Linked DNA regions of Mus musculus: all the other regions are reported to be linked to region 7. The links are microRNA targets in miRTarBase. Many come from high-throughput screens and were not tested one by one. Region 7 holds a microRNA gene; each other region holds the end of a gene's coding sequence.

What was found. The annotated mature microRNA mmu-miR-297a-5p reads AUGUAUGUGUGCAUGUGCAUGU and lies in region 7 at 2,029-2,050, opposite strand. An mRNA with a match to its seed (bases 2 to 7 or 8) in the 3' UTR can be bound and repressed. Matches are read on the target gene's strand: a 7mer-m8 pairs with bases 2 to 8, a 7mer-A1 pairs with bases 2 to 7 and ends in A, and an 8mer does both.
Region 1: the mRNA of Ostm1 is a reported target of mmu-miR-297a-5p. Seed matches in the 3' UTR shown: 7mer-m8 at 2,836-2,842.
Region 2: the mRNA of Iars is a reported target of mmu-miR-297a-5p. Seed matches in the 3' UTR shown: 7mer-m8 at 3,482-3,488.
Region 3: the mRNA of Arrb1 is a reported target of mmu-miR-297a-5p. Seed matches in the 3' UTR shown: 7mer-A1 at 2,240-2,246.
Region 4: the mRNA of Rsrp1 is a reported target of mmu-miR-297a-5p. The part of its 3' UTR that is shown has no 7-base or 8-base seed match.
Region 5: miRTarBase lists Cpne9 as a target of mmu-miR-297a-5p. Seed matches in the 3' UTR shown: 7mer-m8 at 1,426-1,432.
Region 6: miRTarBase lists Dhx9 as a target of mmu-miR-297a-5p. Seed matches in the 3' UTR shown: 7mer-m8 at 729-735.

What each region holds. Positions count from the first base shown.
Region 1 is chr10:42,699,787-42,703,854 of GRCm38, reverse strand. It overlaps Ostm1 (osteopetrosis associated transmembrane protein 1), which reads right to left. Exons shown (of 6, transcript NM_172416.3): 6 at 1,393-3,372. The coding sequence ends at 3,317. Among named protein-coding and RNA genes, the nearest start is that of Ostm1, 23 kb to the right of the region's middle.
Region 2 is chr13:49,733,287-49,737,354 of GRCm38, reverse strand. It overlaps Iars (isoleucine-tRNA synthetase), which reads right to left. Exons shown (of 34, transcript NM_172015.3): 34 at 3,088-3,696. The coding sequence ends at 3,614. Among named protein-coding and RNA genes, the nearest start is that of Gm23482, 21 kb to the right of the region's middle.
Region 3 is chr7:99,600,522-99,604,589 of GRCm38, reverse strand. Arrb1 (arrestin, beta 1) reads right to left here. Exons shown (of 16, transcript NM_177231.2): 16 at 1-3,492. The coding sequence ends at 3,381. Among named protein-coding and RNA genes, the nearest start is that of Tpbgl, 25 kb to the left of the region's middle.
Region 4 is chr4:134,926,642-134,930,709 of GRCm38, reverse strand. It overlaps Rsrp1 (arginine/serine rich protein 1), which reads right to left. Exons shown (of 5, transcript NM_023665.3): 4 at 3,892-3,975; 5 at 3,340-3,779. The coding sequence ends at 3,663. Among named protein-coding and RNA genes, the nearest start is that of Syf2, 2.3 kb to the left of the region's middle.
Region 5 is chr6:113,303,878-113,307,945 of GRCm38, forward strand. It overlaps Cpne9 (copine family member IX), which reads left to right. Exons shown (of 21, transcript NM_170673.3): 21 at 559-1,694. The coding sequence ends at 744. It overlaps Brpf1 (bromodomain and PHD finger containing, 1), which reads left to right and starts at 3,260. Exons shown (of 13, transcript NM_030178.2): 1 at 3,260-3,460.
Region 6 is chr1:153,452,529-153,456,596 of GRCm38, reverse strand. It overlaps Dhx9 (DEAH (Asp-Glu-Ala-His) box polypeptide 9), which reads left to right. Exons shown (of 28, transcript NM_007842.2): 28 at 1-839. The coding sequence ends at 528. Shcbp1l (Shc SH2-domain binding protein 1-like) reads right to left here. Exons shown (of 10, transcript NM_001033162.2): 10 at 4,023-4,068. Among named protein-coding and RNA genes, the nearest start is that of n-TIaat13, 4.1 kb to the left of the region's middle.
Region 7 is chr2:10,515,059-10,519,126 of GRCm38, reverse strand. Mir297a-4 (microRNA 297a-4) reads right to left here and starts at 2,060; the gene lies at 1,963-2,060. All of the region lies in intron 10 of Sfmbt2 (Scm-like with four mbt domains 2), which reads right to left. It overlaps Mir297a-3 (microRNA 297a-3), which reads right to left and starts at 3,307; the gene lies at 3,206-3,307. Mir466l (microRNA 466l) reads right to left here and starts at 3,030; the gene lies at 2,910-3,030. It also overlaps Mir669i and Mir669h.

The sequences.
Region 1 (4,068 bases), not on the chromosome of region 7:
ATTATTACCTGGTTATTTTAATCTAGAATGAAATATAGTACAGAAATGGAGGACACATGATTTTGAGGCTGGAAAACATAGGCTTTTGGTCCAGATCTTGATGTATAGTGGCCCTGAAAAGCTTAGGCCTAGGCATGGTAGTACATGCCTTTAGTCCCAGGAGACAGAGGCATGAAGGGGTCATGGAGAGCAGCTGAGGCTTGGCACAGTGAGAGGCCAGGAAAGGCCATTGGTGAAGGTGTAGCTTCAGTTGCAGTTGATGGCCCAAGACTGAAGGGGTCATGCAAAGAAGTTGAGGTTTGGCACCATGAAGGGAGCCTATGAGAGGCTATTGGTGAAGCCTAGTTTCAGTGGAAGATCCCAGCATCCTGGAGATGTCAGTACCATGGGAGGATCACCACCAACAGCAGCAGCAGTGGAGTAGAGTCAACCAGAGCTTAGAGTGCTACAGAGGGCAGAGCTGGAGAAGTGACGCAAGTCCTTTGGAAGAGCCCAGAAGATCTTATGTGGATCCCAGACATTTGAACAAGAATCTCTAACATTGAAATTGCCTTGGTGACCCCAAAATGTTCAAGATACCAGAGCTGTGGGAAACCTCCAAAGGAAATCTGCTAACAGGGATTGGAATCAGCCAAAAAGAAAGAATTATGTTGTAGTCAATAAAGATGAAAGGAGTTGGACATCAAACATGGAGATACTGAGTTTGGAGTTTTCCCAGCTGGTTTTCTGTCTTACTTTGGTTTAGTATTTCCTCATCATGATGATTTGGAATTTAAGGTATATTCTATGATGTTGGAGGTATAATTTGATCTGCTTTTTAATTTTGATTTTTTAGGGGATTACAGTTAAGAGATTGCATGAATCTCAGACTTTGAACTTTTAACATTGTTGAGACTGCTATAGACTATGGGACTTTTGAAGCTGGACTGTGTATTTTGCATTATGCTTTGGCTGGGTATGGCTCCCATAGACTTATGTGTTTGAACAATCCATTGGGGGCCAGGGAGTGGAATGTGGTGGTTTGAATATGCTTAGCCCAAGGAATTGCACTATTAGGAGGTATGGCCTTGTTGGAGTAGGTATGGCCTTGTTGGAGGAAGTGTGTCACTGTGGGCGTGGGTTCATTAGATAAGTAATAAGACAAAATTTTAAAAACTGAGGTGTGATGTTAAGTTTCTGATCTCAAGGTGTTTAAGTGAATTAAAAATTCAGTTACAGTAAGGTGTAGTGGAGCAGGCCTTTAGTCCCAGCACTCAGGAGGCAGAGGGAAGTGGATCTCTGTGAGTTCAAGGCTTCATAGTGAGTTCCAGGACAGGCAGGGCTATATATTGAGACAGTGTCTCAATAATAATAATAATAAATTAAGAGAATAAAAATTCAATTACAACATTACAATTTTCCTTGTTATTTCCTTTATTGTAAAGCATAAGGAAAAAACAGGTTTTCTTGTGCACACACATAACCCTATGTGCCTCAGGATTCAGAACTATGTACATTTTTTTAATATGACCACAAGATGAAATTCTTTGGCACATTTTCAAATATATTTCTAATGCAACCTCTAGAGAGCCAGACCCTGATCAGGAACAGAGATGGCTGGCTTGTTAAAGTGCTCTCCAGCTTCTTAGCCAAAAGCAGTGGTTTGTACACACAGTACTGAAAGGTACCCGAGGAGTCGCTACTCACAGTTTAAATATGTCACTTCACTCACTTTGCACATGTAAATAAGCTTTACATGTACTGATGAAGATGGCTTCCAATGACCCTCAACCATGTGCTTCAAATCAAGACAGGAACAATGACAGCACAATGAACCCCGGCACATCTAGTGGATCACAGCGTCGTCTGATTGTCACATACCCGGTGTGACACACTCTGGGACTAAGACTAGCCTGCTCTCACACTCTGCATATGTGGGAAACATACAAAAAATACCCAAACACTCCTGCCTTCCTGTAGGGCAATTACAGGTTGTGAAGGGAGTCACATTTTCTTAACCATTGAATCTGAGGAGTTTCCTATTCATTACCTTTACAACAAAGCCCGTTTCCACCGGATTAACCAACAAAACCATCAACTTCTACATCTTGAGAAATACAACTGAGTGACACTGAAACAAGCATGGTTTTAAAGGTTGCTAGAAATATGCCAAAGAAGAACTAGTTTCCTGACAGTGAGATGGGTAATTTCGTTTCAGTCATGTGACTTTCATCTTTCCCGTAACTGGGAGGCTTCCTGTGCGAGCCTGTCAACCGAGTCATCTCCAGTGTAAACCACGCAGCTGTCTCACCGTGAGCATCCCTCAGGTCCCTGTCTATTTTCTGAAATTTAAGCTCTTGTGTTTGTCCTTGTTTCTCCCCAAATCTCCAAATATTCCAAGATAAAATTTTCATTAAAAAAAATCACAAATTTAAACACAGTATGACACACTTGGGTGACATTCGACTTGAACTACTAACAAGTTACAGGTTGCCAAATAACTTAATGAAATTCATGATGCAAATCCCTGGCATAAGATGAATCCATCTTGTCCTCAAAGGTAATTAAGCAGTCCAGTGATTATAAATTACTTACTAAATAAAGACAAAAATAAGATGTAAAATAGTATTTATAAAAGTCATATTAGAACCTCAGTTACTGTAAACCTTTAACAAGGATAAATGCATAATGTGGAATCACTCTCTGAAAACTGTTAAGGAGGTTTATAATCAACTAGTGGTTTCAAAAGGGACTTCAGGGAACTAGAGAACATTATTTTAATGTATGATATATTAAGTATACATTACATATATACATCTATGTATACGTGTATATATATATGTGTGTGTGTGTGCATGTATGTATATACATACAACAATACTACAATGGGAATTCACTTAAGTTAATCACTGAGCCTGCTACCATTTGGCAAGTATGTTTCTTTTTCAGAGTGGGCTCCCAGTGACTAATGTGTAAATAGCAGACCTCAGCCTTTTCTGCTTTGTGTACTTCTGCTAACGAGGATAAATCAGAAGTGTCCAGTAGTCATTCATATGCCTGAGAAAAAAGCCCTCACTTGTTATTGTAACAGATATACCTTAAAATATGTAACATTGCTATGTTTGAAAACTAAAAATACAGAAATCTTCAAAAAAAAAAAAAGGGGTGCTCAGGAAAAGGGAATTTGAGAACCCTTATTCAGAATAAATTATAGGTCTGCAGTCCCAACATTTCGTGAGAATGCAACTTGTCCGACCTTGGCTCATCTTCTTCTCGACTGTGCTGTGGTCTAACACTTACTGGCACAACGTGAGGTCGAGTCCCCGTTTTGCAGGCTTCAGGTGGCATTTTCTTGAATGTTGGCAAAACTGGTGCTCGACTTGAGACGTTTGGCTGGGGAGAGACACAGGGCTGAGTTTAAATTCCTGCTCTCGAGGGCTTACCCAGTGCTTACATGCAAACCACTATATTGTCTATTGATTGGCTTAACATGGCTTGATCCAATTTTCCTAGACGTAAAACCTAAGGTTTTTTTTTTAATGAAGAGCATAAAATTAAATTAAGTAGAAGCTACTACCCATGACTTTGTTAAGAGCAGTACCTAATAAAACAGGCATCCACGCTTTCTTGAGCACTGCAATGTTAACGTGTACATAAAGAATAACAAGGAAAGTCCAAGCTAGAAATCAAGCTCTAAACATCTCTTAAAAGACAAGAGTGTTTACAAAGCTTCTACCCCAGTCATTGTTAATTACGAAGTCTGAAGAATTCCTCCTAAGAGCTGGACCAAGACACCACCATAGCTAATACAATCAGGGAAAGGAAAGAATACGTACCGAAGGACAGAACATTGCCTCTATTTTCAGACAAAAGCATTTTTTTTTCAAGTAGGGCACGCGGTGTGTGCCTGTGATCCTGGAACTTAGGAGATTAAGAATGGAGGATTGTGAGTTTGAAGCCAGCCTGGCCTACATAGCAAATTCCAGGCTAGCCTGTGCTACACGGCGAGACCCTATCTCAACACATTCATGCTGGGCGCCAGTTCAGTGGTAAAGGGTATTGCTAACACTTATAAAGTTCTAGCTTCAA
Region 2 (4,068 bases), not on the chromosome of region 7:
GGGCAGAAGAGATTGTTCAATGGTTAAGAACCCTGGCTGCTGTTCCAGAGGACCTGAGTTTGCTTCCCAGCACCCACGTGGTGGCTCCTAGCTGTCTTTAACTCCAGTTCTAGAGAGTCCAATGCCCTCTTCTGGCATCTGTGGGCACGAGGCACATATGTGGTGCCCAGACAGGCAGACAAAAACTCATACACATAAAGAAGTATATTAACCTTTTTAAAAAAAAATGGAATTTTGACTGATATTTGTTATCTAATATCAGGAAAAGCAATATAAGTAGAGACACCAAACCACTAGAGCCTTGAAAAACCTCTACATATACAAAATTTCATATAATTTTTGAACACTTAATAACATACAAACAATTTAGTGCATATAAAACATTTTAAATGTTGGCACCCAATATTGGTAAACTTTCTAAGATTTATCTGTGTGTTTGCAAGTATTCTGTGAGTACCCGAGGAGCCCAGTAAGTGCTGAGATGACCTTGGAGTTAACCAATGAGAACGCTCGGAACTGAACTCTGGTCGCCTGCAAGTGCAGAGGCTCAACTTTAGTCTTTTTGTTTTTTATTTTTTGTTTTTGTTTGTTTTTTATTTCTTTTGACAAGGTACAGGTACATTCTCTCTGGGAAACCATAAAGCTACTTTGAGATGATATGGACTAAGTTTGTGTCCCATCCCTTGGGGTGCTTGTTGAGATCCTATCTGTCAAGACAGCATTAGGCCTTGGGCTTAGGAGAGGTTTGGTCCAGCTGTACCTGTGCCAAGTCCAGGCTTTGTAAGGTTCTGTTTTCTCCTTCAGTAGCTTTTCACCAGAGCATGCTGTAGTGGCTCTTTGGCCTAGACAGACGGAAGCCATGATTTACTTAGTGTAGGGAAGAGTTAAGGCAGAAAGCCCAAAGACTGTCCTGTCTGTTTCAAGTTGCTTTGGTTTTGTGCTCACCAGGGAGATAGTACAACCTCTTAAGGACCTTGAATTTATAAACTTGTCTGTCTCTGAGTACAGGGATTAAAGGAATATGCCTCCACACTCCACAAGATATTCTTGTCCGCTTCTCTGTACAGGTATTTCCTATTCAGTGCCAATGGCACTTGAAACTTTGACCCTAAATTGTAGGATTCTCAGAGCAAGCCTTAATTAAACACACAAACTTCTTGTGTATTTGTAGCAATGTACATATGATAATCATCGGCAACTTGTAGGGGTCAGTTTCTCTTCTACCATGTTGGTCCTAGGGATCAAAGTTAGATAATCTATCAGTCTTATATCTTGCTGGCCTAGAGTGAGATTTTAAAGGTAACCTCTGGTGTAGATGTTTTTGTTCTCTGGGGTAGTGGATGGTACAAAGCTACTCTTTCCAGTTTAAAGGGGAAATGTGTCCTTTGACACATTATACTAGTTAGGAATGTTTGCTCACCTGGCCATACTACATAATTTTAATGTGATTTATGGCTAGGCTTGACCCAATTTGTAGTCTTAATTGTGTGTGCAGGTGGGGAACCACATCAGAAAGATCTTTTTCTTAACCGCTGAGCCATTTCTCCAGCCCCAGAAAAATCGTCATGTGGAGTTTTGGGGGTCATGCAGTACCAGCTGACCTAGACTGAGATAAATCATAACAGCAGTTGGTTGTGCCCGTTATTTAGGTGGTGGCTCCTGGCTGCCGATGTTCCGTATACTGTCACGCTTTGGTGCCAGGAATGTATCCTGGCTCCAGGTGACAGATAACACAATTGGTGAGTAAAGACACCCAAACTTGCCTTCTCTAGAGGAGGAACCTCCAAAAGCCAACTGGTGATAGAGAGCTGCAAGGCAGGCAGCTCCAGACGAGCCACAGCCGTACAAGGAGCCCGTGTCTAAAACCATGAAGATGAAGCCGTCCAGCTTTCTCCACTCACCAGTTCTCCCAGTCTCTCGGCTGGTGCTGAGGATTCTGAGCTGGACATTGCTTAGGTTTTCGTTGCTTTGTTGCTTTTACAATTGAGCTTTTCCACCACTTTTCTACCACTTCAGTCACCCACCCATCCGTTTTTCAGTTCTCCCCTATTTTAGCTGTTGTTGTTTCCCATCTCGTCCAATTGGTGGGTTTGTGGTGTTTTGATGGCTGTGGGCCTGCATCACTCAGATGGCTTTTCCAAAGAATCCATTTTGAAGAATCTGATGAGTTGGCTGCTAGCATTCAGCTACCGCACCGTAACATACACTGAGGCATCTGTGCCAAGGCCATAAACCTCAAGCTGTTCCTAGACACTGACTATGAGAGGCAGGGACACTAAACCAGGCTGTCCTTCAAACTGACATGCTAAAAAAAATAAAATAAAATAAAAAAATAAAATCTTTGCCTGATAACTTTGTGCTTGCAATGACTGTTACAGAGTTGTGAGTTAGGAAAGCAGAGTGGAGAGTGAAGGCAAGAAAGCCTCCCACAAATGTTACAAAACGATCAGAAACCTACTGCCAAAGAAGATGGCTGGAAACCCCAAGAAGCAAACTAAATCCCTCCGCTGTCCTAGTCCAGAGGCTCATTATAATACCAAAACACACCCCTGGGCGGAGACTTCAGATACTTCTTAGACATGCAACGCATGTACTTATAAGAACTCCACCAGAGCACCCTTAAAATAAGGTTAAACAAAAACGTCCATGCTATAAATGAGCCCTAAGTCCTGAGCGAGCTGGCATGAAGACCCAGCTCTGTACAGTGGAGCCTTTGAGCACTAGACGCCCAGTGTTCCCGCTTCCTTCCTTCCTTCCTTTTCTAGCAATGGTTGTCTCTGCTGTGATCCACGCTCCTCTGCACCCCAGGCTTTCCCAGATCCCTTTCTCCCTGTCCGACTGTGGGAGTGTGGAGTCTGTAACACCTGCTCCTGCTGACACCCATTACTTATGTCTACTGCCATAACAAAGTGTACAACCATCTCATTTTGTCTTGGCAGCTGCTTCTTTGAGGACCCAGAATTTTGGGAAGAGGTAATATTCGATGTTCATTCGATGTCTTAATATGTAGACGTGGTTAAATTTAGTCTTTCAAAGATTACAGATTTCAAGTTTCATTAAACTATGGGAGAATAACTACTTCCAACACAGTATCTAAGAGAGTGTTTACTGTTTTGATTTAATCAAACGTAAAATATTCCATCAAATTACCCAGGAAAATCCAGGTAGCAGAAATATATAACATATCCATTTCTTCACAAGGTCTCAAATCTGTTTTACAAGGCCATATATATATGTATATGTACTATGCCATTTAAACCACTTCCACTTTCTATACTGAAGAACTCCAGTATAGAAATAAGCTTCGTGGTGTTGAGGTAACATTGGGACACTCCCCCAACATGACTGCATAGGTGTTTAAGGTTAAATGTGAACATGATGTGAGGTCTCCAGTCAGTCAATCCCATTAGAATCGCCGGTTAAAAGCAGCATATTTGACAAGTGCCCAAGGAGATAACTTCACTGAACCCATGTGTGTGTGTGTATGTGTGTGTGAGAGAGAGACAGAGAGAGAGAGAGAGAGAGAGAGACATAGAGAGTGTGAGTGTGTGAGTGTGTGTATAAGGAGATGGGTAGATTCAAGGAAGACTGACTGAAGGCATACTGATAGCTGTTAGCCATCTGCAGTTGTTGGCAAGACAGAAACATATACAGTCTTCATATTCAAAGTCTTCATTGGGATATCTTCTGTAATTTCTAGAAGAGAGAAAAATTTCAAAAAGTCAATATTCTATATGAGTAAACATATAAAAAAATGTTAACTGCCTATCTTGAGGCCCATTCTAAGGCCACTTTGACTTCTGTCCTAGCTTTTAGTGGGGAATCTCTCAACTCTTGGCACGTCCTGATAGGTTTGTCTTTGTTGCTTACAGTACGGCTTTGATTACATATTATCTTATGTTAGTGAGGTGACTGAGGGCAGGGAGCTGCGAAGTGTGTGGACTGGTTGGTAACCTTTGAGACACAGACCAACCATGCAGGCATTGAATTAATTGAGCCTACGTATTAATCCTCAACAAAGTTCTGGGTCCCAAGTTGCACCAAACTTCCCTGGGAGGTAATACCTGG
Region 3 (4,068 bases), not on the chromosome of region 7:
GATCAGCAAAGCCACAAAGCCACGATGATAATCATGGCTGATATCTAACCTGGGACACAGGGACAAAGACTGGTAAACAGAGGGCTCATTCCACAGCAAGCTTCCTGTGTGACCTCGGGCCTCCTCCCTGCAGCAACAGGGCCACACCTGTGCAGCCAGTTGGCCTACATCTCACTTCAAACCCACAGCAAGCCCTCAAATAAAGCAGACAAAGGCTATTGTTCCAGTGAGGAGAGACTGAGAGGTGGCCTTGGGGACTTTCAGGACTTTCACTGCATCAGATGGGAATCAGCTACCCTCCAGGGGGATGCCAGTTGCGCTTTGAAGCTGAAGTGGCCATGGGGTCCAGCCAAGCATCTCAATTCTTATGTTTCTAGGAGACAAATTCTTCTCTTGGCTGGGGTACTGGGCAAGTCCAGTCGTCCTCAATTGATGAGCTTTTACAAAGCATGCTCTTCTTGCCCAGATTGGCATTAACATGTGCCCTTTGGTCTACTGGAAAGTCCCAATGTGGGCTGTTTGGTGGCCCAAGTCCCAATCTGTCAGCACAAGAAAACCCAATCTCACTGGATGGTGCCTGGAAACCTCCGCCTCCAGTTTCACTCCCAAGTGCTGCCTGGCCAGGAAAACTCCAGAACAAAAAAGAGCCCTACAGAGAAGTACTGGGTTATGTCATGTGATGGGGGTGGGGCACGACAAGAAAAGAAGAGGCCAAAGAAATACGTGAGCCTGTGTATCTCACCCAGTATGGCAGCATAAGACTGTGGAGTAGGGACAAATGACACCAAATTCCAGCCCCTTACAGTGTCATTTCCAGGGTTTGAATCCACCTAGGAAGGACACTGTATTCAAACTCACATCAAGGCACTGTGTGGACTAGCTGTAGCCAGAACCGTCAATGCGGTCTTCTAGATTTCCCCTGGCCAGAAGGTTTCTAGAGACAGGGATTCTAGGGTGAGATCCATCTTAGTAGTATACAGCATAAAAGAACAAAGCTATCATCAAAGGATGGTTTGGCTAGACTCTAACTTGATCATTGCCCTTATGCAGGCGTAGCTCAAAACACAAAGAGGCAGCCAGGGCTCTGATGCTCCCCTGCAGGTAGATCTGTGGGATAAACGGAAAGAATGTGGATGCTGACGTGTAGGAAGCCTGAGAAACCAGATTGGGAGACCTTTTGCTCGTATCAGTTAAGGATGGGGGACAGGAGAGGTTAGTCCAAATGCTAAAGGGTCTGGTATCAGCTCCAGAGGTTTTAATGGAAGCCAGTTGGAGGGCACATGCTTGCCTTACACTGTTCAAGGTTTTAATCAATTCTATAGGTGCAAAAGTATCCAGCTAGCTCTGGCAGGGGCTAGATGTCAGGGGAGCTTGCAGTTATGATCTGAGCTGGCCAGGCAATGTGGCTGCCCCAAGACGGCTGTCCTAACCTGGGAAGAGGTTCCTTGAGTTGACTGCTTATGAAATGTAGGAGGTTCAGAGCAGTGGGCCTGGACCATCTCACCAGAAGAAATAACAACAAACACTGGGCATGATGGACTAAGAATGGCTGGGATCTAATCTGTACAATAAAGCATGGCGCCAGCAGTGGCAGGGGCATGCCTGCAATCCCAGCACTTGAAACAATAGGATCAGGAATTCAAAGTCATTCGCGGCTATGTAGTGAATTCATGGCTAGCCTACACCTCATGATACGCTGTCTCAAAACCAAACACAAGCTGTGGCCTCCCTTCTCCGGCAAGTGTGGAACTAAGAGAGAGGAACAGAAACGGAGATGAGATCCTCTTGCCCTAACAAGCAATTATGTTTGATAAACCCAAGGTTGTTCCCACACTTCTCATGCAAGTCTCCACACACAGAAGCTCTGGGATAGAGAAGTCCACAAAAGCTCTGGCCACAACCTGATATCAGATAAGCTGACTAGGTCCAAGAGCAGCCCTGCCTCGGCAGGAAGGTACACTCAGTGATCTGCTCTGTCCTGGGTCCTCACCATGAACCTCTTCTGAAGGCAGACGGAGCAGTTAGCAGCCCCAGCTCCAACTGGAAGATCAGAAGCTCTTGAGAGCCACAAACTTACAGAAACTTGAACAAGAAACTCTCGGAATCATCTGGTCGACCTCCTGGCTTTTCCAACAAGAAACTGAGGCCCAAAGAGGGGAAGGAACTGGCCCAAGGTCACACAACAAGCTAGCATCGAAGACCAAACAAGGATATCTTTGAGCATTTTCTGTTTTACCACTTGTATGCCCTGTTACCCTGAGATTCACCCTGGTCAAGTCATACTAACACCACCTGGTGGAAACCGGGTACCCATGACTCTGGGTACTAATAAAACCAACTCCTTTAGGAGAGGAGCTGCCTTCGTCCTGGGAGTACATCTGGATGGATGGATGCCACCTTCTGGGAACGGGATCCCTTAGCAGTGGAAATAATGGCCTCAGGCACCTCTGTCTCTTTCTCTCTCCTACCTTACAGGGCCAGTCACTGGAGAAGAACTAGAGGAAGCTGGGAGATACAGGTGGCTCCAGCTGCCTATGTCCCTCCATCCTTGTTTCCCTAAGGACTATCCACTACAAAAGAGGATGGATGCCTCCCTACCCGGCCCTATCACTTAAACTCCCCTCAGACAACATCCTCAGTAGCTTTGGCTCACTGCTAGGGGCTGGTGTTTGTTAAACACCCACTTCCCCTCTCTGTGCCAGCACACAAAAATGCAATGAAGCTATGATATCTCAGTCTATCAGTTCTGACATATGTGGCCTGCTTCAATCTAGGTGTCATCTGGTTAGAAAGTCAGTCCACTGCTCTTCATTCCTGGGGTCTATGTGCCTCCCCCATGAGACATAGGGGCATGGACCAAGGATGAGGATGGAGGGGGAGGAGTCTCTAGTGGCCCTGGACCACACACACACACAAAAAAGCATTGAGAATCTATTCACAGTCCTGCCCTCTCCCACCTTCAATCTGGTCATCATTTAGCTGCCAAAACTGTCACCTACTGGGACTACAGACATCTTCTTGTGTGTCTTGAGCCATCTTGCCCACCCCCTCCACATCTTCACACCCATCATCATTGTGCCTTCAGGCCCCACCCTCCCCTTTCTGCTCCCCATCTCAAGCCAAATCCCAAGGCCAGGCAGTGTGGCCTTCCTGGGAATGAGCATGAGAAGGAGGTGGGCAGGTGATTGCAGAGAGATGGCTGAGGACGTGGTCCTGCTGGCGTGGTGATGCGAGAGGCCCATCACCGAGACTTGGAAGACCACTGGGGCCCCTTGGTAGAAACTGGAAGAACAAAAGGAAGAACCAGAATGGGAAGGAGACGAGAAAGCATCCGAGTGCGAGAGTGAACCTGGAGCTGCCGGGCTGAGGCCGGCCCTAGTCTATCTGTTGTTGAGGTGCGGAGAGCCGGTGCCGTCATCCTCTTCGTCCTTGTCATCCTTCATGCCTTTCAGCCGCTGGCGAGCAAAGTCCTCAAATACAATGTCGTCATCACTAGTGGGAGAGACAAGGAAAATGCCGTGTGTTTGCAGAGGTAGACGACAGGCAGATCCAGAGGCCTGGCCAAACGATGGGAGGACTCAAGAGAGAACCCCTGATCTCCAGGGTCTCTGGGATGACCTCAGGCAGAAAGGCGTGCCTGGCTGGCCCATTTACAAGCCCACTGATGGCTGTGGGGGTTCTCACAAATAAACTGCAAAAAGCTTGCCTCTCAGTGCATAAGGGCTAGAAAAGCAACCCTGTTCCTGGGGAGATGGAGAAGGTAAGTAGGGGGAGCAATGTGGCTCTGCGTCGGAATCCCCAAAGAACAAGCCCAAGAAACCCTATTTCACCCCTCCAAATCAAACTACCAAGACTGCTTTAGGGAGGGTAACTGTTTCAACCAGGAAGTTGGTGTTGGGTTCTAAGGAAGGAGAACAGGTCTTTCTCCTAGAAGATCTAACCCACATCCCCGGAGTCCTAGGTTGGAGAGGGACTTTGGAACGGGGCTTGGAAGATGGTGAGGATATGAGGACAGAGTGATGGGGAAAGGTGCCTGGTTTAAGGTTGCAGGACTAAGGACTGTTTCTT
Region 4 (4,068 bases), not on the chromosome of region 7:
ACCTTGTCTCTCTTGAATTTAATCCGCATTAAGTCCCTTCCATAGAGTAGATAATTTGCTGATGTTACTAACTGTAGAAGAGCAGGGCGGGCCCCATATCGTTCACTCTCACATTCCAGCACCAGAGCAACTACTAAGGTCACTAAGATAATTCGGGAATAAGACAGGGATATATGAAACGTGTACCTTTCAAAATCGACGACTAATTAATTTTAGAAATGAAAAAGCCATCCCACGTGTAAAAATAGCTGGGTACAAATCGGCTGTGGTGGCATTCTCCTAGCGTCTCAGCCGGTGGAGGCAGGAGAATATCAAGTATGAGGCTTGCCAAGGCTACACAGTGACTTCTAGGCTAGCCAGTGCTATAAGACATGGGATATCTAAAAGCTTAAGCACTGGCAAGAAAAAAATGTAAACTGTGGGCAATTCTCTTTTGAGTCCCCCTCCCCTGTAGGAAGCTACTTCTCAAGCTTAATAAAACTTGGCTTGCGCCTGGCAGTGGTGGCACACACCTTTAATCCCAGCACTTGGGAGGCAGAGGCAGGCGGATTTCTGAGTTCGAGGCCAGCCTGGTCTACAAAGTGAGTTTCAGGGCAGCCAGCCAGGGCTACACAGAGAAACCCTGTCTCGAAAAACCAAAAAAAAGAAAGAAAAAGAAAGGAAGGAAGGAAGGAAGAAAGAAAGGAAGGAAAAGAAAAGAAAAATCCTGTCTCTGGATTAAAAGAAATGAGTGAGTTACTTGGCTGGAAGAAGTGAGGCAGGTGAGTTGAGTCTAACTAGCACACAAAATCCCCACAAATCAAATGGAAGGCAATACATACCTCTAAATGAGGAAGTTACAGCCGGCCTATTTCTTTTTTTATGTATGGGGTTTTAGCCTGCATCCATATATGCACCACCTGCATGCCTGGTGCCGACGGAGGTCAGACTAGAGTTATGGTGGTCCTGAGCCACCATGTGGGTTCTGGGATGGAAACATCTTTCCACTACAGCCAGTGCTCTTACCTACTGAGCCATCTCTCCAGTCTGTGCATTTCAGTGTAGCAGCCAGGCTTTGAATCTACTGGGACTAGTTTCAGGCAGTTGATAAAATGTGTGCCAGGAACCAAACTCGGTGCCTCTTACAAGAGCAGCCCACACTCAACCACTGAGCCATCTCCATCCTGTGATTATCTTCTCATGTCAGAGATGTTTCATTTCTATAATTGCAATTTTATATGTAAACTAGCATATACTCAATATGCCTTGACAAATCTGTCACCACCTTCAGTTGCTGTCACTGTCGTCCTCTGAATCACTTTTAATATGTCTTTGTTTCTTGAGTCTCCCTATACTGTCTGCCCGTCCTGGAACTCACTGAAGACCATCCTGGTCTTGAATTCAGAGATCCTACTGCCTCTCGTGGGATGAAATACCTGTGCCCTCATTAGCCTCAGCTAATCTTCATTTTCTGATCCTGACTGCTACCTCCAGAGTTCTGGGATAACAGACCTGCACTACCACATATGTTCTATACCTTGCTGGATATTTACCAACTAGGCTACATCTCCAGCTCCTCATTCCTCCTTTAAAAAACAAAATCTCACCAGGCATGGTGGCGCACACCTTTAATCCCAGCACTTGGGAGGCAGAGGCAGGCGGATTTCTGAGTTCAAGGCCAGCCTGGTCTACAGAGTGGGTTCCAGGACAGCCAGGGCTACACAGAGAAACCCTGACTCGAAAATCAAAAAAAAAAAAAAAAAAAATTCCAAGTATGGTGCCCCACACCCTTAATCCCAGAACCTGAGGGGTTAGAGGCAAGCCTGGACATCCAAGGCTATATGAAATAGACTGATTCACTGCTACCTTAAAGAACGGCCAAAGAAAGGGATGTGACCAGGAATACACATCTAGATGATTGGATTTTTAAGTTTTCTGTAGGGTGAATCTTTGTTTTCAAAGGATGCTGAGTCCAATTGCATGCTAATGATAGATAGGGGCATTCTTGCCACCTATACTCTTTGGGTGGTCTTAACCAGACACAGTGGCTCATACCTTTACTAACAGCACAAGGACAGTCGAGGCAGGAGGATCTCAAGGCCAGTTCAGGACCAGCCTGATCTACAATGAGTTCCAGGACAGCCATGGCTATGTATATCCTTACTCAAAGCACAGTAAAACCCAAAAAGAAAAAAAGAAAAGCAAATTTGCCTTTGTGTATGTGGCCCCTGGGCTGCCTCCAGAAGGGCTAAAATACTGTTACTGATGCTGGGTTCACAGAAACTCAGGAAGCATTCTAACCAATTGAGCTACATCCCCAGCCTACTATTTGTACTTAAGAGGCAGCTGCTAGTCACACTACAAATTGTGATGACAGGGAATTTAGTGTTTAAATAGACAGTGGCTCATTTGTTGGGAAATGCAAATACACAGGCTGGCTTTCCTGTCAATTTAACACATTTGAGGACTGAGACTTAATACTTTCTCATCCCCATTTCCTGGCAAAGCTCAGGAAACTTTCTGCCCAGTAGGGAATATTGTTATTCTCAGTAGACGCTGGACAAAGCTCAGCTTACAGGGTGAAATCCTCCTGCCTGAGGCACCCACTAGTAGGTTGTAACTCTAACAGGGAGGTGGAGGTTGAGTTCTCACCTGGTGTTCACGACCTAACCACGCCTGGGGTGGAAGCTCCCTAAACTAAGACCAGGGTTTTCAGTCTCTTGGGTGACAGCAATGCTAGCACTGCCAATCCTGACAAGCTCGATTCTAACTTCTCCTTAATCTGGTTGGTTACTAATTCATATTCTTTTTAAAGGATCGCTTATTGGCAAATTCCCAAACAAGATAATGGGAACTTTCAAAGTGTAGCCAAGTTGAAGCCATTAATTTCTAAAGCATGAGATCTTTTGATACTGTCAACAGGAGGGATTTGGGTTTAACAGTCTCACTGTCCTAGAGCCTGCTATGTAGATCAGACTGGCCTTTAACCTCAAGGGTCTACTTGTTACTTGTTTCAAGTGTTAAAATCAAAAGCATAAACTACCATTCACAACTAATGCTGTCTTTTAAAGGTCAGTCTTTTATTTATGTGTATCAAGTTTGCCCACATGTGAGTCACACATCCCATGGAACAGAACGCTGGGTCCCCTAGAATTGGAGTTACAGATGATTAAGAGGAGTCTTAGGGCATATTCCAATACCAGCCCTGAGGGGATACACATTTAAAGAAAAAAGAAACCAATGTCCAACCTCCCTAATGCAACACACAAATGTCAAAGTATGAATTCATAAACCCTGTGTTGTTTTCAGGAAGGTTTCTTCTTCAGATGTAGACAGACACATTCAACATCCATAAAAATCAAGACAAATAATAAAAAGTTTATTAACAAATATACAAAATTCAGTGTACAACTGTGTCTTTAAAAAATTCACCTTTGTATATAAGCAATTCTATACAATACTTACAGATATATACAAGATTCCCACCTGTATGCAATTCTCTGGGTCATCTGTGTCCTCCTATCTTCAAGAGAAACCTCAACCATGAACGTCCCCATTAAGTCTCTTTCTGTAATGGATTTTAATCACATTTACTGCTGTGATCACTCAGGCAGACGATCTAATGCTGGACACAAACCCCTCAGTAAAGTGCAGTTTTGGCAACCCCAGCCCTTAGTTTTCCTTTAGACAGGTATCCACAGTCCGTAAGGACTTTTTTTCTTATCTATTTTTGGTGATCCTGAAGACTTCTCTTCAACAGCAGCTTTAGTTGTTTTCTGCAGTGGCTTTGCTACGGAATTCTGTAAGACAGTAAGTTGAAATCAACTTCAGAGGTTATCAACACACACACAAAGCCTACATAATAAAATACCGGACACCCAATTTTCAAGAATAATGTTTGGGTTCACTTACATTGGAGCTGAAGGCTATGTTTCTTTGTGTAGAAGACTTTTCACTGGTATTTTTAGTTGCATCTTCAGTCTGCTTTTCTGAATGCTAAAGAGGAAGAGAATTTTAAACATAGCCTTAACTTTTAAAATATTGTATTTAAAAAAAAAAAGCCCAACGTACACAAATGTAGCTGTAGAT
Region 5 (4,068 bases), not on the chromosome of region 7:
CAAACACGGGGCTCTGGAGGGTGCTTTTCCCTGCCCTCCCTTTATTAACCTCCTTTCTCTGGCAAACTGCTCTTCCCTCTCAATCCCAACGCCTCCCTCTCTTGCTCCCAAGTTCAACGCTCTCCTTCCCAGCACTCGAGTAGAAGGCAGATGGATCTCCCTGAAGGCCAGCTTGGTCTACATGATGAGTTCCATGATAGCCAGGGTTTCATAGAGAGACAGGGTGAAAGGGGGGCAGTTCAGGAAAACCCAGAGGAGTGGAGTTGACACGAAGGGAAGCTTCTAGAAAAGGAGGGGGGAAGAGTGTGGTGTCAGGAGTAGTGATGTGGTTCAGTGGTAGGCAGCTTGTCTTGCATATACAAGATCCTGCGTTCAATGTCCAACACCCGACACAAAGAATTGGATGCATTCAGAAGGATGACATTCAAGTACAGTGAAGCTAAAGAGACTCTCAGAAGAATAGTGATAGTTGGAAAGAAATGTTAGGGGTCAAAGATGAAACTTGAGTGCTACCTACTCCCTTGGCCGAAGCTCACCTTTCTTTCCTGTCTGTCCCAGTTTGTCCCATTCCGAGATTATGTTGACCGATCGGGGAACCAGGTGCTGAGCATGGCCCGACTGGCCAAGGATGTACTAGCTGAGATTCCTGAACAGTTGCTCTCCTATATGCGCACCAGGGACATCCAGCCTCGACCTCCTCCCCCTGCGAGCCCCAACCCAACCCCAGCCCCAGAACAGCCCTGAGGACTTCACATAGCCAATGCTTAGCAGTCTGCTTACCTGTCTACCCACTGCTGGAAGTTAAAGGCACCTGGAGCTCTGAACCTGACCAGGAGGGCCATCTAGGTTGATCAGTGCTGGCTGACAAGCTTTTTGCCCCCTGACTTCAGAAAGGCTTGGCATGATCACCACCTACCGCCTCATGACAACAATAAAGCTCATCTTACGCAGTCTCTGTCTCATGGGTGTTGGAGAGGGAGACTGAGGGACCCAGAGCCTGGGGTCACATCAAGAGTGAGGGAGTAATGATAACTTCAGTGAGGTTAACATCCATCCTAATGCACTCATCCAGTCACTTCTATATAAAATTTCAAATATTGTAAGAAAACGTGTGGGCTGGTGAGATGGCTCAGTGGCTAAGAGAACTGACTGCCCTTCCAAAGGTCCTGAGTTCAAATCCCAGCAACCACACTGTGGTTCACAACCACCATTAATGAGATTTGATACCCTCTTCTTGTGTGTCTGAAGACAGCTACAGTGTACTTATATATAATAATAAATAAATTTTTGGGCCGGAGCAAGCAAGATCTGAGCAAGCAGGGTTGATCAGAGCGAGCAGAGGTCCTAAAATTCAATTTCCAACAACCACATGAAGGTTCAGGTGTACAGCTACTGTGTACTCATCTGTACAGCTACAGTGTACTCACATACATAAAATAAATAAATAAATCTTTAAGAAAACTTGTTATACATACTTGAACACTTTTTTCCTCAGGACAGACCCATAGCTTTCATGAGATTTTCTAAAAGGTTCTTCACCCCAAAAGAGCTAGCTTTAAGACAACTGTGAGGTCCTAGTGGTACAAGCCTGTAATCACAAGTTCAAGGCCAGTGTAGGCAACTTATCTGGACTTTGTCATTAAAAAAAAAAGTTTTGTTTTGTTTTTTAATAAAAAAGAAACGGCTGTTGTGATATATCCCTGTCCTTGTGTGTGCAAAGCCTTCAATAATGAAAAAAAGCTGTATAACTTCTTTGATTCATTTATTTTGGTTGTTTTGTTTAGATAGGGTCTTGCTGTATGGCTCAGCCTGACCTGGAACTCATAAGCAGTTGGAGCAATCCTAATTCAATCCTCTTGAGTGCTGCGATTACTGGTTTATTCTGAATTTTCTGGATGAGTATAATAGCTTGTATTTTCTTTGTGCATGCGAATCTTATACAACAGACACTGTATTAGGCAATTTACAGTCTTCAACTCTCTTAATCCTTATCATAACCCCGGGACAGAGGGACTATATATTATCCCCATTTAATAATGAGAAACTCCGCTGCAATAAGCCATTTCTTTATAGAAACCACCGATTTTACGCCAGACCCCCCCTTTTGACCAGGAAACAACTTGGAGTGCTGGTTTTATTGGCATTTCTCGGGGGAAACGTGTCATAAGAAAACGTGCACTTTAGGGAGCTGAATACCAAGTCCGCATGAAAATAAACCGCGTTCTCAGTGACTCTAGCATCTTGGAAGACTATCATACTCTTCAGTGACAAAACTACAAGCACTGCTTGACAATGATGATCCCTGACATCCAAATTCTCTGAAACCCCCAGGAACTGACAGAATTTTCGAGTTCCAGGTTTACAATTGAAGAACCCAAAGAAGAATTTCCCACGATCACACTTGAGGTGTCAGTCATATTCAATGGGCTGTGTGTTTTGATACCGTCTTCCAATCAGCTACCGGTAACCTTGTAGTCCAGCGCTGCCAATCTGAGTCCTACAGTTTTACTGGAATGCACTGGAACCTCCCCAAACTCAGTTCCCTCATTAGGGCCACGCCTCGTCACCCTTCAGTCTCACATTTCAGCGGAAGCCCCGCCCCTTACGTTCCTAAGTCCCGCCCTTACCCTGCAGCACTGTGGTGCGCTTTCCCAGCTGTAGCTTCATCCCTAGTTTAGCTCCACCTTCCAGGCTTACCCAAAGCTCCGCCCTTCGTTACTTGGGCCCCTCGGGCCCACTCTTCCGGCTGCGGTCGTCGCATCAGGGCACCGCTTTCCCGCAGCTCCACCCCCTAAACACAAGCCCCTCCCGCGCCGGCCTAGTCTTCCCACGTCGCCCCGCCCCTGACCATATCTGCGGGCCTCTGCGGCTCCCTTGCGTTCGTCCGGCTCTAGGCCCTGCCCTCAACTCCGCCCCACCCGGCGCTCCCGCCCCGTTCCTCCCAGTCGCCTTCCTCGGAGACCAAGGCCAGGTCCCTACCGCAGCAGTCGCGCCAGCAGGAGGGAGGGAGCAGGCGGCGGCAGAGGGGGAGGGGAGAAGGGCGGGCTCCTCACGCCCAGCCTCGCGCTGCCTGTCCGTAGTCGCAGATTCGCCACAAACGGCCCGAGGACTCAGACTCCCCAAAACTGAGCTTTCGCTCGCCAGAAACTCCACTTAGAACATGGAGGCGCTTGCTGAGCCCTTTAAGGTGTCCAGAGATCTTTTTCAGACCGACAGGTTGGTCTCAAGCTCCTCAGTAGACCGGCGAGGAACCGTGGCGAAAGTGCGTCTATACAGCGCCACGGGACCACGTTTACCCTGGCGGACGCCGTCGCCGTCGCTGCTGCTGCCGCCGCTGCCACAGCCTTTGCCGCCACGGTCTCGCCGCTGCTGTTCCTGTGCCGCCTCCAGGAGCCCCCCCATTGTCCCGGCGGCACCGGGTTCCCAGGCCAGAAGATCCAAAAGCTCGGGAAACGCGAAGGTGCTTGCGGAATTGCGACGCTGGGGCACCGGCGGGACCAGGAGTGGCAGGGGTCAGCGCGGGAAGCCGGGGGAGCCGGGCCAGAGAGTGCGGGGCAGGAGCCGGGGCGGCCAGCTTCGCTTCCGAGAGTTCGGGTTTCCCCTTCTCGGCCCGTCTCTCATCGCCGGCCTCCCACACGGGGTTGGAGCCCCGGCGGGCGCCCCCGGCGATGAGCCCAGACTGGAGGTGGCCGGTGAGTACGGGCCGGGGCCGGGAGGTAGTGCCAGTGGAGAAGGGGCAGCCCTGGCGAGGCGCCTTAGGCTCCTCCTGAGCCCCTGGAGCAGGGAGAATTGACATGCCATTCGTTCGTGGGGAGCGTCCGCGGCAGCAGTGTTCCCTTTGAGGCTGCCTGGGCCAGAGGCAGAAGGGAAACCTTGTTTGACTTGTTACACTTTGACAAAAGGGAAGCGGCGCAGCATCCGGGAGATTGGGCTCTAGCCCCGCGGGCCTTGTCCCACCCCTTACCCCTTACTTCCTTCTGCTCCTGGAGTTCCCGGGAGTAGGTGCTTCCGCCATATCCAAGGGCCCCAGGGCTTTCAGAGCTAAGTTCTGGACACCTTCGTGCCTCT
Region 6 (4,068 bases), not on the chromosome of region 7:
GGAGGAGGCTTTAACAGCGGTGGGGGAGGCTTTGGTAGTGGTGGGGGAGGCTTTGGCAGTGGTGGAGGTGGATTTGGTGGTGGTGGAGGAGGCTTCAGTGGTGGAGGAGGTGGTGGATTTGGTGGTGGCAGAGGAGGTGGAGGTGGCGGATTTGGGGGTAGTGGGGGCTTTGGAAGTGGTGGGGGAGGGTATGGTGTTGGAGGTGGTGGCTATGGAGGAGGTGGTGGTGGTGGCTATGGAGGAGGCAGTGGAGGATATGGAGGTGGGGGAGGGGGTTATGGTGGTGGGGAAGGTTATAGTATAAGCCCCAACTCTTACCGTGGGAATTATGGTGGTGGCGGGGGAGGGTATAGAGGAGGTTCCCAAGGAGGCTACAGAAACAACTTTGGTGGAGACTACAGAGGGTCCAGTGGAGACTACCGGGGATCCGGTGGGGGCTATAGAGGATCTGGAGGATTCCAGCGAAGGGGTTATGGAGGTGGTTATTTTGGACAAGGAAGAGGAGGAGGGGGTGGTGGTGGCTATTAAGACTGGACTCTGTCGGAGCCTGTGCATACAGTTGAAAAATGCATGCTGTATGTTTTTCCAAGATGTTTATTTGCACCAAAAAAGTAAACCCATTTCCCACTTAATCTGTAGTTCATGTGTAGTTTCAAGCAACAAATGTAGACTAGTGATTTTGTTTTATATTGTGTAATGTAAAATATGACCTGTTATACAAGTATCATACATACAGTTTGTATTTTTTTTTCTTGAAGGGGTAAAGGTTTGCCTTTTAACTTAACTTGACATTTTCTTGGTTTTCATTTAATAGAAAATAAAGTATTATACTGAAAATTGATTGTGTCATTGATGTTCTTTTTTACAGAATAAGAGTTGAGCCTATATTCCCCCCTTTTAATGTTAGGGTCTCAGTATATCCAGGAACTAGCTGGTTTGCCTCAACCTCAGAGATTTATTTAAGGTGTGTTAGTAACTCTGGTGAAAAACATCTGATTTTAGTTAAAATATTTGTCTTTGAAAACAAAAGACTAAGGCCAGCATTTTCTATTCCAAATTAGTTTCCAGGGGTTGTGGGTGCATCAGGAAAAGTAAGGCCAAATAAAAGCTATAGAGGCCTTGAACACATTTAGGCAATGGTAGGTGAGACCTATAATGTATGACTCAGTATTTAGGTGTAGAGAAGTTGGCCAGTTCTTCCCATTAACATGTATCCCAAAGTATGTAAAGTTACAGGTGCTTTTGATAATTTTTGAAATTTCCAGTAAGTTGCTAGAGTTCTTTGGGGAACAAGAAATCCTGGAAAACCCAGGCCCTGTGGCATGTTAGGCAAGCACTATTAGTATGTAGTCCTGTGTCTGCATTGTTGGAGGGAGATCAGATCAATGGGGGCCAAACATCATGACTTCCTCTGTTAACAGTCTGTTAAAATTTGTCATTTCCATGTGTGTGAACACAGAGTTTAGTTACTTCATTGCATGTTACATCTAGTCTGATCTCTGTTCTCTTAAAAAAAAATTATTCCCTATATCTTAGTAGGCCTTAGCTTGCTTATAAAATAATTGATCCTATACCCAAAGCATTACCCTTTTGCTTAGAGGATAATTTCTCTGTAACCACTCTTACAAGCTGTACTAGCCATGAATATTGATGGGTTTTGGTGCTTTTGATCTTTACATGGTATGAAAAGTAAGAATTAGAAAATCCCACATGCTCCATTTGGGGTGGAATAAATAACTTTGAGAAATGTGAAGTTGAGTTGTATGCACTGTTCACCCCCCTATATGGTGGGAGCCTAAGATTTGTAGTCTGGAGTTACAGAGAACCATTGAGTATAGTCATGTTTTTCAGTATTGAAACTCAAGAGCCCTCCATAGGTCCAGAACTTGTTCTTCCAGCTCTAGTTTCCCAGATTTGGATGTTAGTCGATGTCATTGCCACAGTCTCAAAGCAGTGATCTCTTCACATGAGATGGAGGTCTAAGCACCAGTTAGATTAAGTAGCTTGCATAGTAGATTATCTCACTGCACTTAAACATGCTTTTCTTTCATTTTTTTAAAAGATTTATGTATGTGAGTACACTGTAGCTGTACAGATGGTTGTGAGCCTTCGTGTGGTTGTTGGGAATTGAATTTTTAGGACCTCCGCTTGCTCCAGTCAACTCCGCTCGCTCCAGCCCTAAGGTTTATTTATTATACATAAGTACACTGTAGCTGTCTTCTGCCACACCAGAAGAGGGGGTCAGATCTCATGGATGGTTGTGAGCCACCATGATGTTGCTGTGATTTGAATTTGGGACTTTAGGAAGAGCAGTCAGTGCTCTTACTTGCTGAGCCATCACTCTGCAGACCAGACTGGCCTCAAATTCATAAATCTGCCTGCCTCCGCCTCCCAAATTCTGGGATTAAATGTGTGCCACCACGCCTGGCTCCAACATGCTGTTCTTAATATGAGCATTAATTATATAGTGTAGCCTTACTACCCTATAGTAAGAAATTGAAAGGAGGTTATCAGATTAAAAGTTTACCACAGAAAACAAACACCAGTTTCTGGAAGCCATGTTCAGATTAGAATCTGGAGTTTGGTACCATGGGGACAGATCAAGAGAATATGAATGGGGTCATCTTCAGATCTGTCCAGACAGCAGACATCCAAGCACAATTGTCACAGAGCACATTGGATTGGTGCTAATAAAATTGTTTTTGACTTCTAAAACAGTTACTGAATTTGAAGGTTTTAGGTATAAATCACTTTTTGGAAGTGCAAGGATGGATCTGTATGCCTTTTAATTGTGGCTGGGACAAATGCATTTGTCAGACTTTGTGATCCTTCAGGTTTTAGCTGTGTGAAAGACTGGGAACCTTGGTAACAATCTTAGTGGCTAAGTCCTTTGTCCAGAACATCAAAAGTTTGTGGAGTTGCTAAAGAGTGGGTGGGGGTTTCAAAAGCCATTTAAAAGGCAGTGTGATCTGGGCAGTGGTGACTCATGCCTTTAGTCCCAGCACTTGAGGCCAGCCTGGTCTACAGAGTGAGTTCCAGGATAGCCAGGACTGCACAGAGAAACACTGTCTTAAAAACAAACACCCTTCTGAGTGAATTCGAATCTTGAGTATATACAAAGGCTTACGGGAGCGGGGTGCCTTAGGGTTTCTGTTGCTATGCTGGTCAAGCATCTTGGGGTGGAAAGGGTTATGAAGGAAGTCTTAGCAGGGACTGAAGCAAACTGCCTTGCTCAGTCCTTCCCTACATCCAGGAGCACCTGTCTGGGAGTAGCTGGGTGTGGTGGAGCACACCATTAATCACAGCACTCAAGGCAGAGAGGCAGGTGGATGGATCTCTTGAGTTCAAGCCAATCTGGTCTACAGTGTGAGGGGGTTCTAGGATAGCCAGGGCTGTTACAACTCAATTGAGGCCCTCTTTTTTTTTTTTTTGGATGCTTATCAAGTTCAGAGGGAGTAATGTGACAAATGGTAGAATGTGTGCTTAGTACTTGTAAGGCTCATGGTTCTGTCCCTGGTTGGTATGCACACAAAGAAGCTGTGTATTGGTCCTTATCAAGGAAACATCCCATTGAATTTAGATTCCCTTGGCTGAGAAAATACAGGTTGTAGGAAAAATAGTTGTCAAAGACATTAATGTTCCTAGTTCTCAGGAACTGTCGAAGCATACTTTATTATGACAAGGTTCAGTTTGCTTATGTGGTTTAGGTTAAGGTCTCTGGGATGGGGAGGTATTCTGGATTATCCAGGTGAACCTAATTACCAAAAATGGCTCAAGCTGGCCACTAACTCCATCTCCCTGGGACTGGGATCATAGGCATTCTTCATTCGGGTGGGGATTCTGTGGCGCTGGTGCTGGAACCCAGGGCTTTGCTTTCACATGCCAGGCCAGTACTTCACCTTCTGAGCTACATCCCCAGCCCCTTAGCTATGCTTTCTAGAGTAAATTCTGTGGCATATGACTCACCTTTATAAAGCTAGAATCTTAGCCAACACATTAAAACCACTAATTGAAAGACAGCAAGCATTTAAACATTTTAATCTTTGAATTTAAAACAACCATTTCTGA
Region 7 (4,068 bases):
AAGCACTTCTCTGTGTAAAAGCAAGCACAGCATTCTAGTTTGAATTATGTTAGGAGACAAAGATATCACCAAAAATAGACTCTAATATCATATAAATATCAAGTGTTGACAGGGAAAAACAACACTTTAAAAAAATTCTTAAAGAATTATTAAATAAGCAAAAGGATTCTTAGTTTTTAACGACCAGAAATGTTTTCAATATTAAGAGCAACCCAGCTTTACCTCTTAACCCCATTCAATTAAAAGTGACCTTTTTCATAGAGAATGAAAGAGAAGACAGCTATTAATGAGGGAGGTATTCCAGTCTCCCGAGCCAGATGAACGATAAATTTTAAATTAAGATATATTGCAATCTGAAAACTCAAAGAAAATCATCAGGTGTACGAAAAACCAAAAGAATCACACCATAGCCTGCCTGTGTGCTGAGTTCCAGAGATCCAACTCAGGCTGTCAGGTTTCCACAGAAGCCATTTTCACCTGGAGGGAGAACTAGCCCTGGATCCGTTCTGCATAAGCTCTAAAGCTCTGAGTCACATCTCATTCAAATAGATCGATCAGAGCCACTAATGTGCGTGTAGGTGAATGCCAGTGTGTGTGTTTATGTATATGTATGTGAACATTCATATACATACATTTACATGCACACATAAGTATGAACCCATGCACATACATGGGGGAGGGCATCACATGAATCGCATGCTGATCTCTAACTCATCATGAAGTGAAACATGAATTTGAACTCCAGGACCTCCTGACGCTGGCAAGAGTATTCACCTCCTAACTGAGACATAGCTCTGGCCCAGTACTGCATAAGCTCTAAAGCTCTGAGTCACATACCATTCAAAAGGATAAACGAGTGTCATTCCTGTGTGTGAGTGTGTGTGTGTGTGCATGTGTGTATATGCATATTCATATAGAGAAATGAATATGCACTCAACTATACACCCATGCATATTTTTGGTGGGCATCACATGAATGCCAGGATGATCACAAACTTATCAGGAAGTTAAGCATGAATTTAAATTCCTGATCCTTCTAACTCTGGCAAGTGGTTTTCACCTGGTGAGTTAGATGTAACACTGACCCATAATTATACACTCTATAAAACTCTAAGCACATATAAATCAAACAGATCTATGACTGCCATTCTTATGTGTATATGTATGTGTGTGTGTATGTTCATATACATGCATGTACAAGCACACTTACCTACACATATATACACATACACAAGGACAATCAAATGAATTCCAGGCTGATCTCTAACTCATCATGAAGTTAAACATGAATTTGAACTCCGTATCCTCCTGACTCTGGAAAGAGTATCCACCTCCTAACTGAGGCATAGCTCTGGCCCAGTACTGCATAAGCTCTAAAGCTCTGAGTCACATATCATTCAAAAGGATATATGACTGTCATTCCTGTATGTGAGTTTGTATGCATGTGTGTATATGCATAGTCATATAGAGAAATGAATATGCACACAACTATACACACATGCACATTATTGGTGGGCATCACATGAATGCCAGGATGATCTCTAACTCATCAGGAAGTTAAACATAAATTAGACCTCCTGATCCTCCTGACTCTGGCAAGAATACTCACCTCCTAACTGAGACATAGCTCTGGTCCGTTACTGGATAAACTCTAAAGCTCTAAGTCACATACCATTCAAAAGGATATATGAGTGCCATTCCTGTGTGTGCTTGCGTGTATATGCATATTCATATAGAGAAATGAATATGCACACAACTATACACCCATGCACATTTTTGGTGGGCATCACACGAATCGCATCTGATCTCTAACTCATTATGAAGTTAAGCATGAATTCGAATTCCTGATCCTCCTGACTCTGGAAGGATTATTCACCCGGTGAGTGAGATCACGCACTGGCCCAGTCATACAGAACCTCTAAGACTAAGTCACATATCATTCAAATGGATCCATGAGTGGCGATTTTGCGTGTATTTGTGTGCATGCTTGTATGGGTATGTGTGTATGTATATGTATACTCATATACACACATGCACATGCACACATACATATACACACAGGCACATACACTGGGGGGGGGGGGCGCCATCACATGAATCTGAAGCTGATCCCTACCTAATCATGAATTTGAGAATGAATTTCCACTCCTGATCCTCCTGACTCTGGCAAGCATTTTCACCTTGTGAGTGAGAGCACCCACTGATCCAGCCCTGCATAATCTCTCAAACTCTAAGTCACATACCTTTAAGGCCTGACTCTGGCAAGCACTTTGACCTGTTGAGTAAGAGCATGCACGGGCACAGTACTGCATAATCTTTAAAACTCTTAGTCACATATTATGCAAGTAGATGAATGCAAGTCACCATGTGTTTGTGTGTGTGTTGCATGTGTGTGTGTGTCTGCACATGCATATCCATATACATTCATGAACATGCACACACATGTAAGCACACGTGCACATACATGGGTGGCATCAAATGAATACCAGGATGATCTCTAAATGGAGTTTGAACTCCTGATCCTCCTGACTTTGTCAATCATTTACACCTGGTGATTGAGACCATTCACTGTCCCTCTACTGCATAATCTCTAAAACTCTAAGTCATATATCATTCAAATGGATCGATGAGTACCATTCCTATGTTTGTGTGTTTCTGTGCTTGCATTTATACATGTGTGGATGTTATATATATTCATATACACACATGCACACACAACTATACACACGTTCACATGCATGGGGGGAATCACATAAATCACAGGCTGATCTCTAAGTCCTCATGAGTGTAAGCATGCATTTAAGCTCCTGATAGACCTGACTCTGGCAGTTGTCTACACCTGATGAGTGAGAACACTCACTGTCCCCGTACTGCATAATCTCTCACCTCTAAGTCACATGTTATTCAAATGGATCTAAGAGTGCCATTAATGTGTGCGTGTGCATGCATGAATATGTGTGCATGTATTTATATGTATATCAATATATATATACATGTACATGTACACACAAACACACATGCACATACATAGGGGTCATCACATGAATGCCAGGTTGATCTCTACCTCATCATGCAGTGAACATGAATTTGCACTCCTGATCATCCTGGCTCTGGCAAGGGGCGTCACCTGGTGAGTGAGACCTCTCTGTGGCCCAGTCATACAGAATCTCTAAGACTCACATATCATTGAAATGGATCGATGAGTGTCAATTTTCTGTGTGTTTGTGTGCATGTTTGTATGGGTATGTGTGTATGTATATGTATATTCATATACACACATGCACATGCACACATACATATACACACAGGCACATACACTGGGGGCATCACTAGAATCCGAAGCTGATCCTGGACTCATGAATTTGAGAATGAATTTCCACTCCTGATCCTCCTGACTCTGGCAAGCATTTTCACCTTGTGAGTGAGAGCACCCACTGATCCAGCCCTGCATAATCTCTAAAACTTTAAGTCACATGTCATTTAAAAGTATCAATGAGTGCCATTCGGGGTATGTGTGTGTGTGTGTGTGTGTGTGTGTGTATGTGTGTGTGTGTGTGTGTGTGTGTGTGTGTGTGCCTGTGTGTATGTGTTTGTGTGTATTTATATGTATATTCATATGCACACATACATTAGCACACAAAACTATGCAACATGAACATACACTGGGAAGGAACCCATAAAGCCAGGCTGATCTCTAAGCCATTTTGAAGTTATTCATAAATTTGAACTCCTAATCCTTCTGAATATGGGAAGCTTTTTCACATTGTGAGTAAAAAGTTTCATTAGCCCAATACTACATAATCTTTAAAGCTCTATGTCACACATCATTCAAATGTATCAATGAATGCCATTCCATGTTTGTGTGCTTGCATTTACATGTATGTTTATGGTATGTATATTTATATACACACATGTGCATACACAGGGACGTAAACACACATGCACATACACGGGTGGCATCACATGAATACCAGGATGATGTCCAGCTGAAGTTAAGCATGAATTTGAACTCCCGACCCTGCTCAATCTGTAATATGTTTGCACATGGCGAGTGAGACCGTTCACTGTC